Linked DNA regions of Arabidopsis thaliana. The protein of the gene in region 1 purifies or fractionates together with the protein of each later gene. This does not show direct contact. Each region holds a gene or a part of one and is shown on either strand. Other genes may lie near its edges.

Region 1 (4,626 bases):
AAGAAAAAATATGGCTTACTGATTTCCATGATCGTATCTTCCCATGCATTCCAATAGAATGAGTTCCAAATAGGTCCCTGCAAGAAGGAGATGAGCTCAAGCACATTGCACCACTATCATCAGCTTTACAGACAGCACAATTTGCCTGCAATTGGATCAAAAAAAAAAAAGAGAATCCAGATATGAGGTTCATGGCTTAGTTCAGAAATGGTTACAGAGGCGTCAGGGAAGAATAACTCGAGTAGTAGGTATAAACCTTGTATCTCCGATATCGTGCTTCATTATTTCCCAAAAACTGCTTGATAAACATATCCGTTAAGAAACCAGCAAGACCATCAAGGAGCCAATCTGTTATAACAACATGGACAATCATGAATCACAAAATTACATGTTTTCACATGAAGCTGATATAACAAATCGTACGCAAATCAAAGTGTAGAAAAATGTCACAAGCCCACCATCATTTGGTGATTCAGGAGTAATATAAACTCCAAACCACTGTTTTGCTAACGCAGAAGCAAGTTTAATGCGTGTATCTATTGTCTGCAAAGATAATTGAAGCTCTATCAGATTTTTGCATAAAGGAACTAAAAAGATGACGAAACACCACCAAAGAAAGAAAACTTCCTATAAACATAGTGAAAACTTCTACACCAAAATCCATATGCCAATGAAGGGGTGAAATGCAAGAAATAGATGAACGCAGCTTGCAATATTCATAAGTGGTAATGCAGAAATATATTTAACATGCTCAGACACGTGCTTGGTTGTACTTTTTTCAAAAATGCATCATACAAATTAGGTCTGGTGTGCCTTCCATCCTAATATTAGCATATACAAACCATTTACGTGCATGTGTCTGATGAAGGTATTATCTACCCACAGGTCAATTTACCAGGAAACAATACCTGATCAATAACCCTCTCATCATATAGTATGTGGGAGCTAAAGATACTCAAGGAAGCTCCCGAAGTCGACGAAGTAACAACCATTTCAGGAGGTAAAAATACTTGCTTGTAGAATCCAAATGGAAAGTTCGCACTTAAATAATCCTCATAGTAGCTGTAGAAGTTGAATTCCAGTAGACAAGACTTATACTTTAATTCAGTTTGACTACAATAAGTTGCCAGAATACAAATTTACGGACCTATAAGCTTCATGGAAAAATTCCATTGTATTACGAAGCCTCGAGAGATCATGCGGCAAACACAAGTTAGATATGAGAAAGTTGGTCTGATCTGGAAGGATTTCCAATGGTCCTGCAACTAAAGACACCCACCGCGGTGCAATAGGAATAGCTAGTTCATAAACATACGTTTTTTGAGTAGTATCTTCTTTGCACATAACCTGAAAAGTGTGAAAGTTTAAAGATTACGCCCCCTCCACCTTGTAAGAGTACTAATAAAATTGAATGATGGAAACTGTAAACCTATTCAACAAAGTTTTAGCTTATATGCCTACAATAACAGAGAAAAAGTTCTTCTGTTTGATCCAGATTCATTAGATAACTATACTGAACAGCAAAATCTTCTGATAATATAAGGACAGAACAATGAACAAGTTTCCTTGCAAATAGAGATAGTACACTTTCAGATTAAACAGCACTGGATATGGCTTCTTTCATATATAAGCTGAAACCAAATTTGGACGCAGATTTTATGCCTACGTCCACAAGTCACGGGAATGACAGCTTTTTCTAAGTTTTTCCATTCAATCCAGATCTATAATGGAATATGTCTTGTACGTAAGATACAGGATCGAAGAAAATAGCACTTCCTCTAATCCATTCATGTATGACAGATTTACACAACTTACCTGGTAGAGTAATTTCCCAACACTAACAGCCACAAAGTTGTGCGGAACAGTGAATTCCAAATCGAAACTGCACCCACCACAAAGTTATTAAAAAAAAAAGTTAAACAGGTTGTGATACCCACTTTGATCTCAAAAGACAGGAGATGAATACAGTGTTACTTCTTAACAAAACTGAATACCTGCAACGATGGTACTCATCATCAATACAAGGAAACCAACAACGAGCACGTCTCATCTGGTTATCAGTATGTACAATGTTCCCATCAAAATGAATTCCTGACTCTATTTTCTCTACCCAGTAGTTAATCCGAATCAATTTAACATTCTGCATCATATGAGCAAACATAAATCGTTAAACAAAGGACAGCGGTCACTTGTAACCCATGGCAGTGTATATGAGAATCAGAACAATTACCTGTTTTGCCTCCCCTGAAGATTGGGAACCGTTTTCTAAAGTCACACTGTCCAGCTGTTCAGATAAATCCTTAGAAGGCTTGCAACAGTTGATCAGTAAATTTGCAGTGTCTTCTCTCTTAAGAACCCCGACATATTCCATGGCCGCAGCATCAGCTGCTGAAGCTGGGTCAGAGACCGAGTTCCAGTTACTTTCAGTTTCAGAGTTCTGATGGTGCGGATAGTACTCAAATACAGTAGGTTCCCCATCTACCAAAACACTCTCAATTCCCAAGTTCTCTGCGTGTAGTCCCACAATACCAATATCTGGCACACTCACTTCTAACTCTGTGTAACTATAGAAAGCCAACAAAAATATCCCATGAAAATGCAGCCAAGAATGATAAAACCAAGGTATATAAGTAAAACCCCAAATAATCAAAAGCAGAGGATTCACCATAAATTGAAAAATCCAAAGAATACTGTCGGTGCAAGATTCAAATTCTGCCGGTTTCTTCATCCCGAATTATATATATCAACCAAAAATCACATTCACGGACTTGTTTCGCGAATGAAAAATCGAAAGAAAGAGAGGAAAACGGACCCGTAGATTTGGCGTTTTTTGAAGTCAATAGAGAGAAAGAGTTTCTGGTGAAGAACTTTAGCTCCAGTGTTCTCTGAAGTCTTCGCGCCAGGAGCTTCCTCGTTCTTCGGCTTTCGAGCCTTGGCCATGTTCCTTTTTTGCCGATATGTTAGCCGGAGATGTAACCTTTTTATACAGCCAACGATGGATCGGTTCCTAAATTACATAAAACTCCTCTATGTCTTAAACTTATTAAATATTCGGCTATTGTTTTCTAAATGTATTAATCTTACCCTTTGAGTTTGATGTTCATTTTATGGGCTTAGTTAAAGCATTCTCTTTTAGCCAAAAAAAAAAAGTTAAAGCATTCTCAATTAGGCCCATTTATTTGGATTTACATTCTTTCTCTCTCTCTCTCTTTTTGTGCAAAAGTTTTTCCTTCAATTTGAGGTTTCACTGACTTTTTCTATTTTATAGTTTTTGTTGTTGTATCATACCATACATTAAAAAAAAAAAAAAAAACTAGTATAATCCACTCTTAAAAAAATTGATGCTTAACATGTCAACTTCTGTCGTTACAAAAAAAAATGTCAACTCCTATTTCATGAGACCCTAGTGAAATGATGCATCTTTTAGTATTAGTGATGTATGAACTATGAAATGTCGGCCATTGATTTTTTTTTGTTTTAGCAGTTCTTGTGTTCGTTAATTCTTTTACGTTTAAATCTAATAGTATTTTTTGGGGGGGTTAAATGAGCATATTAAACGAGCCAACAAAACCATGGCTCTTGCCTCTTACAAATGCTCTCATATTAAACTGGTTAGTCAAACTATTTAGGGATGTCAAAACATAGTTTTCAGATACTGTGAATATTACTTGGTGATGTCAACCCATGTCTGAATATTCAAATAATTGTTTTGGTAATTGTGTACACATACGCATCGATTGTCGAGTATATACTATATATTTATGCACATACGCGTGTGAAGAGTGACAAAAATGCATAGGTTGTGGATTAATTTTCGCTAGATGCATTTTTTGTCGCTGTAAAAGTCACGTGAAAGTTGTAGTCTTGTAGAACTCGGAGATTATTATGAAGTAATGAACCCATCATAAGATCTTCCGGTGTTAAATAAAACATACATTGATGATGCAACAAGACAATCAACATATCCAAATTAAAAGAAAATCAATCATTCAATATGCTAACAAATTAGATAAAAACATGAAGCGATCATTTAATTTTTGTTCCCCTGTGTTTCCTATGCTGCTTGTAAATTAAGCTGTTGTACAAAAACAATTTGAAATTCATAATGAATAAATAATATATGATGAGAGGTTTGACTTTAATACGAACTTCAAATTTAATGAGGCCTCCTCTTCCTTGAACGCAAAGGAAGTTTCTTCGTTGGAAAACGCTGTCTCCAATTCACATCTCTCTCTTTCTCTTTCCCTCTGTACACACATACGTATACGTATATATATTAACACTATATTTCATTTATGTCTTCGATGGTCCTATGATCTTTAATCTCCATGGCGACGACTAGAGTCTCACATGTCTTAGGGTTTCTTCTATGGATCTCTCTTCTCATCTTCGTCTCCATAGGGTTGTTTGGCAATTTCAGCTCCAAACCCATAAACCCTTTTCCTTCTCCGGTTATTACCTTGCCGGCCCTTTACTACCGGCCGGGAAGAAGAGCTTTGGCGGTGAAAACGTTTGACTTCACACCGTTCTTGAAAGATCTTCGCCGGAGTAATCATCGGAAAGCTTTGCCGGCGGGAGGATCCGAGATTGACCCGAGATATGGCGTTGAAAAACGACTCGTCCCAT
Region 2 (4,067 bases), on another chromosome or scaffold:
ATTTGAATGCCAAAAACATGAACTTTAGCCTTGAAATAAAGAATGGATTAACAAATTCCCATGTAGATCTAGTAGCAGGAGATAGTGACTATAGTAAGGAGATTAGCATTCAAACATCAAAAACAATTAGACAAGTGAATCAAACCCAATTGATCAAAACGACAAGTTAAATGCAATCGAAACAATCACCTCTGAATTGTTACACCGACGAAGCAAAAAAACAAAACAGTGAATCGAGATACGCACAATCATTTCAATCAAATTAGTCAGTAGCAAAACTACTCAATAAACACACAAAATTGACACAGTGCACCTACAAGAAGGATCCCCAAATAAGATTAGCAGTAACAAAAAAAACAAATCGTCAAAATCATCATCAAACTTAAATAGAAGAAGGATCACTTGGGGATGAAGATCAATTAACACGATCTAAGAAGGACAAAATCAAAAGGGAGAAAAATCCAATCTTACCAAATAAGAAGCAAAACCCAGATAAGGTTTGGCGATGGCAGAAGAAAGAGAAAGAGATAGTGATTAAGGAACAGCCCGGAAACAAAGGAGGGAAGGAAGACCGCTATAGAGATTTAGGAAGCGGTGAGGAGATGATAGAAAGAGAGAGAGAGAGCAAGTTCTGGAAAAGAGAAGCGTTAAAGAAGATGAAAAGGAGAGAGAGACTCAATAAGAAAGGCAAAACAAATATTATAAAAGAAGGCAATAGAAGAAGCAAAGGGCAGAGGCGTGGCTGATCACAGGCTACTCTCGATCTAATATATAGTCCCAACAAAATCTTATGCATTTTCCTTTACATTTACTCTATTTTCTTTTATCTTCACATTAATATTTCTGATACTTACTTAAAATACGTTAAAACGGTGTCGAATCAGCAGATCAAACGGAACAAGCGGAATAAATATAAGTTTTCGTTTATAGAAAACTAGTTTTGAAATGATTGTAGATAAACAAAACAGAAAAAAGTTAATTTCAATGATATCGGTAATGCTATTCTTCGAGGATTATTTGGTTGTGTTCAACAAGTAATTTAATCATATATATAGGCGGACTAGAGAAAGGAATGCTTTGAAAACAAATATTTGGTGCGGAAGGTATGTGATTTGGCAGAATTGTCTTGTGTTTTTAGATTGTGTTCAAATCTTATGTAACATAGGCCGCCTTTATACATCAATACGATGCCAAAGAAATGTCAAAGCAAATAATATATAGAAATCCAACTAAAAGCTTGGAAGAAACAAATATTAAGGGTTTCTTTTTAAAACCTTTATGCATTGTATTTGGTAGGTGAACTTTGAATGACAAAATATGTGACATGGTAAAAGATTTTTGATGGCGATACACGTTTGACGTTTACCTTAGTCCTTAAGCTGCATGTATTGGTTTAGGCTTTAGACGTTTAGTCTCGTGTTATCATACATATGTTATAATCCGATGCGTGGTGCAAAATCCGCATTAATTGACCGGAAATAGGAGAAAATGAGCTAGTAGGAAAAAAAAATGTTATCATCAGAAGTTTGTATATGAAAACCCGGAAAGAAAAAAGCTTCTCCAAAGACTGGTCCGCCACGTATGACGTATCGTTTGTGATTCCGTTGGTAGAATCGTAATGCAAAATTATCCAAACACGACAAAGACGATACACACGAATTTGCTTGAACAATAATAAACAAGGTTCTTTGAAGAAAAGAAAGTAATAAACTATGCACGGCACTAGGAGTAGAAATGATTGAAACCCTTTAACAAATTGAACTCATCTTGTTGCCGAAGTTATACAGATAACGTATGGAATATGAATGGGTTTGCGATTATTAGTTTATTGGACTTTCAGGCCCTTTTTAGAGAAAATTAGTTTCCTCCTCCCGAAATAGTCCTGCATTATGGACCACATTATGGGCCCATATTGAGGCCCACCTTAATGGTACTTATATACTATTTTGTACGGAACTGATTGATAGACATTAGACACGGAGACATTGTTGTCGTTCTTCGCAGACATTTCGATTTTGAAGACAAATCACAATGGGAGAAGCGCCTGCCCAGATTCCGACGAGTTTCGGCCACGAGCTTAGGGCTTGTCTTCGATGCCGCCTCGTCAAGACCTACGATCAGGTCTGGATTCTCTTGTCACTTGTGATTTGCGTGTTTCTTCTCTTGCGAATATTTTTTGCCTAATCTGGTTTCTCCAACAGTTTAGGGATTCTGGATGCGAGAACTGTCCTTTCTTCAAAATAGAAGACGATCATGAACGCATCGTCGATGTTACAACTCCCAACTTCAATGGGTATGGCTTAAATTCGAATCCTTACTTTGAAAATTTACATGGCACTGTTCATAAGTCTGTCTCTCGTACTTGTCGTTACATTGAAATTTCTGAACCTAGTCTATACTTATGATTAAATCGTATAGTCTATACTTATTGAGAAGACTTATTGTTGGTCGCTAATCTCTCGTTTTTTTGTTGAATGAGTCGTTGCAAATTGTGAAATCACTGTGGTGGATATGACCATAAAGTTTGCTGCTTTACGTTAAAATGAGTTAATAGTAACAGAGATGATGCTAGTGTTGATTATACTTGTCATTTGTTGATGTCACGTCCATGTAATTATGTATTGATATAATGAATGTTTTTGCAGTATAATCTCTATGATGGATCCACGCAGAAGTTGGGCAGCAAGATGGTTAAGAATTGGTATGTTTCAGCTCTGTTTCCTGATCATCCTCATTGTCTTTTAGAGTTTACTATACTGTGTAGCTTCTTCTTTCCGTTTCCTGTTATTCTTGTCTCACCATTATACTTTATAAATGGGGATATTAGTGCTGAATTTAACTGTGTTGTCTGCATCCATTTGAGCGGTAGCTGCATTCTGATTTGCTGTGTGTTTATGGCTTGATGACCTGATGTTGTATTCCCTAATATTGCCAGCTTTGTTTCAGACAGAAGAGAAATAAATCTAACACATTGCAATATCTTGTTTCCAGGGAAGTTTGCTCCTGGTTGCTACACTCTTGCTGTCTCAGAGGCACTCCCAGAGGAAATGCAGGTAAACATATTTACTTCTCTTAGAAACCTAAGAAGGGATTAATAAGCAAATCCTTAGCTCTGTTTTCGTATTGACTGTTCGTCTTTTTCACATGTATGTGGCGGAAATCCGCTGGCAGTTCATATGCCAACAAGCACGGGTGCAGTACGTTCCACCCAAACGTATTTGAAACCTTTTGCAGGTTGCAGCAAGTGTCTCCATATTAGCATCTCTGCAAGTCGTCAGTTTCAAGACAACTTAGTCCGATGGAGGTTATGAATGGAAGTAGTTAAGTTTTATGTACTTTGTTTCTGATTTCAACTAATATAGAGAGATTTGATCCTCTTATTGTTATCAAAAACTCTTATTTGATCCGGAAGATAGAGATAGATTACATTTTTTTTTTCAAGTATGGAATGGATTTCTTTTCCTGTGATATTCAGTACATTATTTGAATTACAAAATGAAGAAACTTTAAATTGAGCACCTAGCAGAAATGTGTGGTACCAATAATTCACAGAAAAAATGTCAACTACGCAGTTGATAGAAGAAGTGGCTCCTTAATCAGGCCAAGAGGGAAACAAGGAGAGATATTTATTGGTTTTTGGAATATGACCATTGAAATTCCCAAAGAACCGAAGAAAACTATGGGAAAATGTATAAAATGCCTGTCTTTATACCAAAAAAATATAAGACCCACAAATTCATGGATACAAAGTACAAACAAACAAATTATACACAAGAATCATCTTCCGATCCAAGGTATATTCTTCTGCTAGAGTAAATCATGGACGTAACATGCATAATTAACAATGGTTACTTAACAACAAGTAGTAATGAAAAATTGAAGACGTTCAGTCTATTTGGGCAAGAGGCAAATATTAATTTTCGTTACTATACGTTTATTTTCTTGGCAATTTAGTTTAATTTTGTTTAGGTCAAAGGCAATTTATTTTGTTATTAAAAAGATAAATTAGATTTTTTTAGAAAATAGCCTTTCTATATTAATTTTAAATTCGAGTTCACGTGGCGGTC

What was found.
Region 2: the proteins of TAF2 (region 1) and AT5G08565 fractionate together in Arabidopsis thaliana (co-fractionation; one large-scale study listed by BioGRID). This does not show direct contact.

The regions. Positions count from the first base shown.
Region 1 is NC_003070.9:27,811,494-27,816,119, forward strand, and holds the start of TAF2 (TBP-associated factor 2), read right to left. Parts: upstream 3,027-4,626; 5' UTR 2,941-3,026; coding exon 2,813-2,940; exon of another isoform or gene 2,666-2,812; intron 2,565-2,665; coding exon 2,231-2,564; intron 2,141-2,230; coding exon 1,995-2,140; intron 1,883-1,994; coding exon 1,816-1,882; intron 1,348-1,815; coding exon 1,148-1,347; intron 1,063-1,147; coding exon 909-1,062; intron 544-908; coding exon 459-543; intron 349-458; coding exon 257-348; intron 146-256; coding exon 20-145; intron 1-19. Other genes in the region: CLE13 (CLAVATA3/ESR-RELATED 13), read left to right, coding at 4,329-4,626.
Region 2 is NC_003076.8:2,773,933-2,777,999, forward strand, and holds AT5G08565 (Transcription initiation Spt4-like protein), read left to right. Parts: upstream 1-1,965; 5' UTR 1,966-2,031; coding exon 2,032-2,121; intron 2,122-2,201; coding exon 2,202-2,293; intron 2,294-2,645; coding exon 2,646-2,701; intron 2,702-2,935; coding exon of another isoform or gene 2,936-2,991; coding exon 2,992-3,053; intron 3,054-3,171; coding exon 3,172-3,222; 3' UTR 3,223-3,542; downstream 3,543-4,067. UniProt on the Arabidopsis thaliana protein: May regulate transcription elongation by RNA polymerase II. May enhance transcriptional pausing at sites proximal to the promoter, which may in turn facilitate the assembly of an elongation competent RNA polymerase II complex.